2 linked regions of the Kluyveromyces lactis genome follow. The protein of the gene in region 2 purifies or fractionates together with the protein of the main gene of each other region. This does not show direct contact. Links are inferred from orthologs where the notes say so. Each region holds a gene or a part of one and is shown on either strand. Other genes may lie near its edges.

What was found.
Region 1: the proteins of CDC53 (region 2) and DAS1 purify together in Saccharomyces cerevisiae (affinity purification with mass spectrometry; 4 studies listed by BioGRID, with this or other methods). This does not show direct contact. The link is inferred for Kluyveromyces lactis from reciprocal best matches to the Saccharomyces cerevisiae genes CDC53 and DAS1.

Annotation. Positions count from the first base shown.
Region 1 is NC_006037.1:558,674-562,446, forward strand, and holds DAS1 (SCF ubiquitin ligase complex subunit DAS1), read right to left. Parts: upstream 2,322-3,773; coding exon 723-2,321; downstream 1-722. Other genes in the region: OAF3 (Oaf3p), read left to right, coding at 1-668; PAM17 (Pam17p), read right to left, coding at 3,467-3,773. UniProt on the Saccharomyces cerevisiae protein: Substrate recognition component of a SCF (SKP1-CUL1-F-box protein) E3 ubiquitin-protein ligase complex which mediates the ubiquitination and subsequent proteasomal degradation of target proteins. Probably recognizes and binds to phosphorylated target proteins.
Region 2 is NC_006042.1:536,349-540,949, reverse strand, and holds CDC53 (cullin CDC53), read right to left. Parts: upstream 3,030-4,601; coding exon 591-3,029; downstream 1-590. Other genes in the region: SRF1 (phospholipase D regulator), read right to left, coding at 3,845-4,601. UniProt on the Saccharomyces cerevisiae protein: Core component of multiple cullin-RING-based SCF (SKP1-CUL1-F-box) E3 ubiquitin-protein ligase complexes which mediate the ubiquitination and subsequent proteasomal degradation of target proteins.

The sequences.
Region 1 (3,773 bases), on a different chromosome or scaffold from region 2:
ACGAAGGGATCTCGGCCGTTATCGCATCATTAGAAGATTTAATTACTCTATGGAATGAGCATTTCATTAGACCATTAGCGCCTGTGTCTTATTCCAGTAGAATCATAGAGATATCAATGAATAAAGCCCTAGTTCTCTTGCCAGCAATAATACTAAGAGCTCGTAACCCCTGCAAACAAAAAATCCTACAGTTAATGGATAAAATATTGACAACGTACTTTAATGAATTCCCATACTATTATCATGTATTCAAAAGATTGTTCAAATATAAACTAACTTTAAATTTGATCAATAGAGAGGATTCATTAGATCATATGTTGACGATTCTAAAACATGAGAATCATCAAGTTCTAGAAAAATTGGGTATAACCAGTAAAGACGCAGAAATGTCAGACGACGATGTAATAAAAGTCTGGAATGCCAGATTCAGTTTCACTGAAAAAGTAGTTAATTTGAAAGTTGAAATGATGTGTAAAAACTACGAACCAAATCTCTTCTCATCAAGTTATCAGCACGCTCTTGAAAAATTAGAAGAGAGGCATTCGGCCAAGGCAGATGCAATAGATGTCACTCAATTTTTGCAACAAGTCTTTGACTCAACAGATTTTGACCTCTTTTATGGGATGGATGTAGGTGAACTCCCCAAGATGGACAGCATTCTTCCATAATTTTTTTGGGCTTGGTACTTTCCCTCTTGTTCCTTGTATAGAAAAGTACAATATTTAACAATTTCCCATATTCGATTTGTAACCATTATTAAAGAAAACTGGAACAGGAACACGGGCACCTTCTCTCTCGAGAACGATACAAGGTACGTCGTTCAAAACCAAATATCGTAATCTTTTCAAATTTGAGAGTATAGTTGTATATGTCTTTTTATTGTGATGAACCATTGCATGATAGCACTTGATGACGTCAGATTCTGTGATGGGTTCAATCGGGGTTGAGTTTCTATGCATGGATTTATAGTGCCTATTGTATTCATTAATCTTGGTGACGAAGTCCGAGAGATTCATTGGTTGTGTCCTAACAGAAGGGTATATGTCAAATGCTTTTGAATAAGGTAATAAAGAGAGGTATTTCATCATTGTGAATATATCCTTAGCGATCAAATCGCTTAAATCTCTGATCACCATATCTTTCGACGAATTGAAAAATTTACCGTATAGTATATCCTGAAACACATGATTACAATCATCACAATGGCAGTTATGTAAGAATTTGAACCTTGACCCCTCGATAGAAATGATCTGCCTGTCGATATTTTCGAATCTCAAATCTAGGAATTGTAGCTCTCTACAATTTAATAAAATGGACAGGAATACATCCGTTGAAACAGGATGTGGAGTGAACTCATGCAAAAAATCTGTCTTCAACCTTTTCAAATTCTTCAAACGTTTGAAAAGTTCGATGAGTATGGCTGGATTTTGTCTCATAGATATAAGAGATAAATCCCGAATTTCTGTAAACTCGTAAAATTCAGTCAAAATTTCCAATTCTCGTTTATTCAAATTCTCATTCCATGATATGATTGTTAACACCTTTAAAGTTCTCACATCGAAGACATCTGAAAGTTTAGTAAGCTTCGGGTATTGGTTCAGCGGTTTCAATTGATCGGGCGGATAATATTCTTTCCTCCAATGTAGTTTCAAGTCATGGATTTGCAATTTAAATTGCAATGGGTATATGCAATTGAACAACTGGATGGGATCCATGAAAAGAGTCATGTGTGACAAGTTAGAAGAAATCCGTTGCTTTAAATATTGAGCTAAATTAGGCAAATACGTTCTGGAAACTTCTCCCTCGGGCATGGAATTAGGTGGGGCACTATCGAAACTGGTGACATTATGACGCGATTGGATTCCATTTGCAATAATATCGTTACAATCCGGGTCCGTAACGTTTTCCAATCGTATAATGGATTTAGAGTACGTACATAGCAACCTTAAAACTTCTGCCTGCTTCTCTTTATCCAAATCCCAATTAATCCGTATCCATTGAATGGAATTCAACCTTTCACTGTTCCTAGATAAAGTGCGTATAAGAAGATCAAGTTTCGCATTAGCCAACCCACGAGACCAGCACTCTGCCTCGTTTGGGGGCATGTACAAGTATGTCCAGTTGATAGCGAGGTTGACTATATCACTCTCTACTACATTCGAATCGTTCAAATAAATTCTCCGATACAAAATCGGCAGTGCTAGTTTTGAAACCCGTTTATTCACCAAACATAGGTTCAATCTATCTCGCTGCGGTACATGAGTAATGACTTCAGCTAAAAGCTCGTCTGGAAGTGATTCCAGTGGGAATGTATCAATCATGGATAATAAGTAATCAAAAGAGCAATTTGTACGGCGTCTTTAAACAGCAATCTCTCCTCTTAGTAACATAAAGCTCCTCTAATATACAGCATACAGCCATCAAGAGTGAAAGAAGTTTAGTGTTTTTGATGGTAGAAGCCGGCAATAAGAATCGAATGACTGGGCTATTGTATTCAAGCATAAGGTAGGCATGTTAAAGGGTAATGAATTCCTGGCAAAGAACGAACGGAAGTGAAGTTTCGAATTCCAAGAAATTGAAATCAAAGTCACGTGAGTAGAAATGAAGATCACATTGTACGGAAATCCGTTATGCGTTCCTTTCCTCAATCAAACCCGCGACATCAATGAAAAGAACAGACAGAACAGCCGGGTACCTTGAAGAAGAACTTCCAGAGAGCCATTTTATGGTATATAACTGGGGTAAATAGACCCATATTCAACCGGTAGATTATCGAAGAAACCCAGTTAACCCAGTTAATAAAGGGGCTACACTGCGCTGGAATATAATAAATTGAAATGAAGAACTACTCCCAATTTAGTTGAACTACTAACAGTATAAGAACTGGGTGTGTGGCCGAGTGGTTAAGGCGCCTGCTTCAGGGACAAGAAATGAGCATGCGGACTCAATGCGGCATCAAAACCGTCTCCGTCGCTTTCCAATTGACACATTCTGCTTTACCTTTGGGGGGGCCAAGAAAATTGCGATAGCCGTTTCCTTAAACCTTTAAACAGAGGTTTTCTACGCAGTTTTGTGCGAGTTGTAAGGGGCCTGGTCCGAAAATCAAAAATTTGTGGGTCCTCCAGAAAATCTTCACTGATTGCTTGGCGGCTATTGGGTGCGGGTAGAGCAGAAGTGGATTGCGAGTGACGGACACGGTTACCCGGAATATGCAGGTCTGTTAATGTTAACAGGCGCGAGTTCGAACCTCGCCGCATCCAAATATACTTTTTTTTGTTGGGTATCGATCCTTTTCATTCCGGTTTCTCTGGCATATACCATTACGCAATTGCTAATGCTGATTTAACGAATGTTTCTTTAGATATCAACCACTATTTATTATTTACTATTTACTTGTACTTACGGAAAGGCGTTTCCTTGGGTGGGAGAGTGATAGTCATCATACTTTTTCTGGTATTTTTCCGCTTCACAAGAACTCACTAGCCTTTCTTTTGTAAGAATGACAATCTCTTAGCCATTGTCTGTACTGTGGTATCGAATTAATCTTTTCACCGTAGTAATCCGGCACAGGGTTACTGAAAGATTGTGATTGAGGATTGACTCTGTTCTTTTGGATTTTGGCCAAAAATGAAAGTTGCTTCTCTTGAAACTGTAATAATTTGGGACCGGAAGTGGCCTTAAACAATGCAGTACCCACAATTGGTCCCAATAACCAACCAACAGCAGCACATGTGATCATACCAGCAGTAATTGCCATTAGTGGATCGAATCCA
Region 2 (4,601 bases):
ACAAACAAAACAGTCGAACCTGAGAGCATATAAACTAGACAAAGAAACACCTGCCATCAAATGTAGAGCAGTTCCTTTTTTTTTTTTCAGACTCATTCATGTCATCGAAACTGCCTTGATATGGCTTGACTCATCTGAAATCTGAATTTTTTCTTTCCCATAATTGAAATATGGTCAATGAAAAGAAATATGGTAAAATTCCCACTCAATTTCGAGCTAAAGTCTAATCATGACCAATTTTCGTGAATATTCCTGTGGATTTTAAATCCGATGAACGTAGATTTTTGCAGCAGGTATTGACAAACACCTTCCGAATGATGCTAAGGTAGTCACTGAGAGTAGTGAGAGCAGCAAGAGAGCAGAGAGGGCTACCCAAGCATTTAGGTTTGGCTATTGAGTAATGAATAGTATACTCGTCGGTCCTTTCATGATGTCTCTCTTTTTTTCTTGGGAATATTCATGCTTGAAAATATGGGGCCCAAGGTTGACCTTTGGTCGAATGGTCGAATGGTTGCGAAATATATGTTGATACATATACATTTCTTATACATATGTATGGCGAAGTAAAAGGTGGATAAAAAAGTGAGCGTTTACGCTAGATATTCATAGCATTCACCGTCGTCTGTCCTTTTCAAATACTCTTGTTCTATTAGATTGTCGACAGCTTTTTTGATCATGGACACCTTGGCGTTGAATCTCTGTTGAGATTCGGCAATACACTCGTTCATCAATGAACTGTGTGGTAGTTTTCTCTTTGCCTTCATAATTCTCACTATGCATGCTCTTAAGAACATCAATCTTTGTTGATTTAGTTCCTTTTCTGCTTTCTTTTGCTCAGATGCCTCTGTTTCATCTAATGCAGATCCATTAACGGTTGCAGTAAAGGTTAGATCATTTTTCACAGCGGCTGCAAAATTAACACTAGTTTTCGATAATCGATAGGGTTTGTTTAAGGTGTACTTTGTATCTAACTTGATCATACTTTCCACCCCTTCTGGAGATTGTATTAATAGTTTCATCTTCACAAACGGATACATATTAGACGCAATCTGTGTAGCCTTCAAATTGGTTCTCTCTTGTATTTGTTCAAAGGTCAACGTAGATATATCATTAAACAAGGTAAGAATCGCCATTTGGAAAATAGTCACAGTGAATTGGAATGGTGGTTTGCCTGGTTTACCAATATGTGCCTTGATTTCACCACGAGACATTGGCCATAGCCATTTCAATATTCTACCAGAATGCTTGTCAGTATACATGGTTTCCAATTTGTTCTTACTATGTTCAAGAACTGGTGGTAATGCGAATTCTGTTGGTTGATAGCTGAAGGGCCATACATTGTCTGCAAGAATTAGAGGTTCTAATTCAGGAACTTTGCTTCTGAAAGTTGCGGCGCTAGTAGTATTATTCCCATCTTGTGAAATGAACGTGGAAAATTCATCATGCAAGTTTTTAGATAATTTGACATCTTGTAGCATCTTGGTAATCTTGCTGGTGTATTCAAGACTGTTCTCGGACTGTAGTCTTTGGATAATGATTTCTTCATCAGCTTCTGATTTTGATGATCCATGAATTAATCTTTTTGCTAAATTTTTTCGGTAATGCATCTCAAATGCATCCTTGTCGGCCAAGAACTTAAAGACAGTCATGATATCATCCACGGTCAAATCTACCTGTTCATTATTCTTGGTCGACTTTTTGAGCAACTGGTCACTGTATTTCGCCAACATCTCAGGAGCTCTAGAAGTCGCAAATTTAGGTGAACCAGGAGGAATAGCGAATGAGTTATTGTTAATGAAGCAACGGCATCCATAGTCTAAAGCCTTAGCAAAAGCAGGATGATTTTCAAAACATTCTATGGTGATATTGTAAAAGAGTTTGTAAACTCCTATTAAACATTTCAAGTAATCTCTAGGTGATAATCCCGGTTGCCTTTTAGCGTTTGAATCTTGTGCTGCACTCTTATTATGTGCATCAATTAATTTATCGATTTCTTCATTTCCGACTCTCTTGATGTACATATCAAAAGTATCCACCAAATCTGGTAACATTCGGTAATCGCGTTTCATCAATTCGTATATGAGCTTAATCAATCTTTGATCTTGCTTATCCAAAAGTAAAATAAACTCTTTTTTTAACTTATCGGCATGATCAGCAATCAAAACTTGGTTCAAAGCTGTAGACAATGGTGCCGATGTATGGGAATCCAAATATAAAATCATGTCCTTTTCTTCGAAGATTATGCATTCATTTGCCTTTTCGATGTATTCAGAGACACTGTGAGAGTCTAAGAATTCGTTGGACATCTTCGTGTAGTATTCTTTTGTCTTCTGTAGGAATGGCTGTTCGAAGTTTTGAATATACACATTCAAATTCAACTTCTTTAAGTCTGATGGATCGATACCTAATATCACAAAGGATTTTATTGCTATTGTAATAGCAGATTTATTCACTAATTCACCCCTCCGCTGCAAATCCAATTGATCGAATATTTCAGTAACGAGTTCCGTCTTATGTGTTTCAAACATAACTTCTTTCCACGTCATCAAGCACAAAGTATGTGCATCGAAAATGTGTCTTTTACCATCGCTTCTTTCCTTTTGCACCCAGTAACGGTTCATATAGTCGAAGACCCGATTTAAGAAAATAGCTCCGATTGTAAATCTTTCCCAGCGTCTCACGTAGAAATTCAAAAACGTTACATTATCATCTTTCTTTAAATTCGATATGTAATCTTTCAAATAATTCTTTAAGTTCTCATAGATTTCTCCTCCAACAAGAATCGAAGATTGATTCATTTGCTTCCCTATAATATCAGATTGGAAATGACCTGTAGAACGTGACTTGTTGACACAGTAATTATAAATCGCCGTGTATACCTCCATGTACATCCTTGGGGAAAGAACTTTCTGAACTCTGTTTGTCTTTATATCCGATGTACCATCACGATCCAAGATCTGGTCGATCCCAGGCTTCACAAAGTTCCATGTTGCTTCCAAATCATCTGATCTAGGTAATGTGTCTGCCATAGCTTATTAGACTTGTTTCTTATTGATTGCACGTGTAGTTTCTTTTACCAGTAATATTTCTATTGAACGATGCCTAAGTTATCTTTTCTGAAGCGTTAATGAGACTTGCTTCCCACTAACCCAGTTAAATATACGCTTTAGAATAATAGTATTCCCAAGGGCGCAGGTAGCGGTACTTGTAAATAAAGATTTGGTAGTAAACTGAAATCAGCAGCGATAGAAAATACAGTTCGAGTCCCAATTAGTCGAGCAACCCTTTTCAATGAATCGAAAGAAAGGATAAAACAGAATAGAAAGCGCCTTCACTGCTAAATATGAAATGCACCACTTGTTGGCGGGATCCTATAAAAAAGGGTCACACAGGAAAACTTTATATTGCTTCTATCGTGAAGTATCTCCGAGTTGTTCGATATTTTGACCCTTTTTGACAGCCTTACTTGTTATATACTGATTTATATAATTGCATACTATGTTACTATAATTTCTTATATTTTTGTTTTCGTTTGCCACACATTATTGGAATATCAAAAAATCCTGAATTGTTCCTCAATATGAATCTGATCTTATTATTAAAGTACTTAAAAGAGGGTAAGGATTACAGCTTTCGGCAAATATACTTTAGCATACTGCAGTCGTCTAATTATGTTGTTTAATACAGGGCCCAAACTTATATGTTTATAAGGTTTTCTTTGGTACTTTTGATTTTCTTTTGTTGGGTTTGTAAACAAATTATGTACTCTCATGGAATAATGATTTATTTAAAACAATTAATCTACAGGCGTCTTAAGTCGGAAGGGCCCGTTTCAAGAATAGTCTTAGGGTCTTGGAGCACCAGAACTGACTCTTTCCACGACCCTTAATATGCTAATACTGAACGTTACAACCCAAGTGACCAAGACCAAGAAAAGGAACGCCGCGAGCGCCCTTTGTTTGTCACATATATATCCTACGTGCGGAGGATCAACTTGTGACGTTCCAGTAGATGTGCAGACCCATCGATTATCATATAATGTATTGAAGGTAAGCGATAAATTAGCACTTGAAAATATGATGAATAAAAGGTCCAGCATAATTAGTCTGACTTTAGTCATAGGATCTCTAATTCCTAGCGGTTTCCCTGAAAATTCGTCATATCCGATATAAACCAAATATAATATAGCGATGGAATTAACACATAGCGCCATGATAGTACTTGGTTGTTGAGGTATTGATGATTCGAAGGATTCGACAGTGGAATCCGAGTTCTGGTATATTCTACTTGCTAGGCCAAGAGAGATTATGCAGAGTATCACAATGAGAAATCTCAACGACAAAGGTAGATATTGACTTTGCAATAAAAGTCTTCGTAGTCTTGGTAACCATTGTTGTTTTTTTCTTTGTTCAAGGGTAGCCCAAGAGTTTTTCTTACTATTCACACTATTTCTCCCCTTGTTTAAAATAGAATGAAACCTCCCATCGTCACTTGAATGAGTTTCCGAAGATTGTTTCGCAGAGTCCTTATTCAAGTAGTAAAAAGCTTTGAGTTGGGAAACGTATTTAAGCCACTCATTCTTGTCTCGTTGATTACTCAAT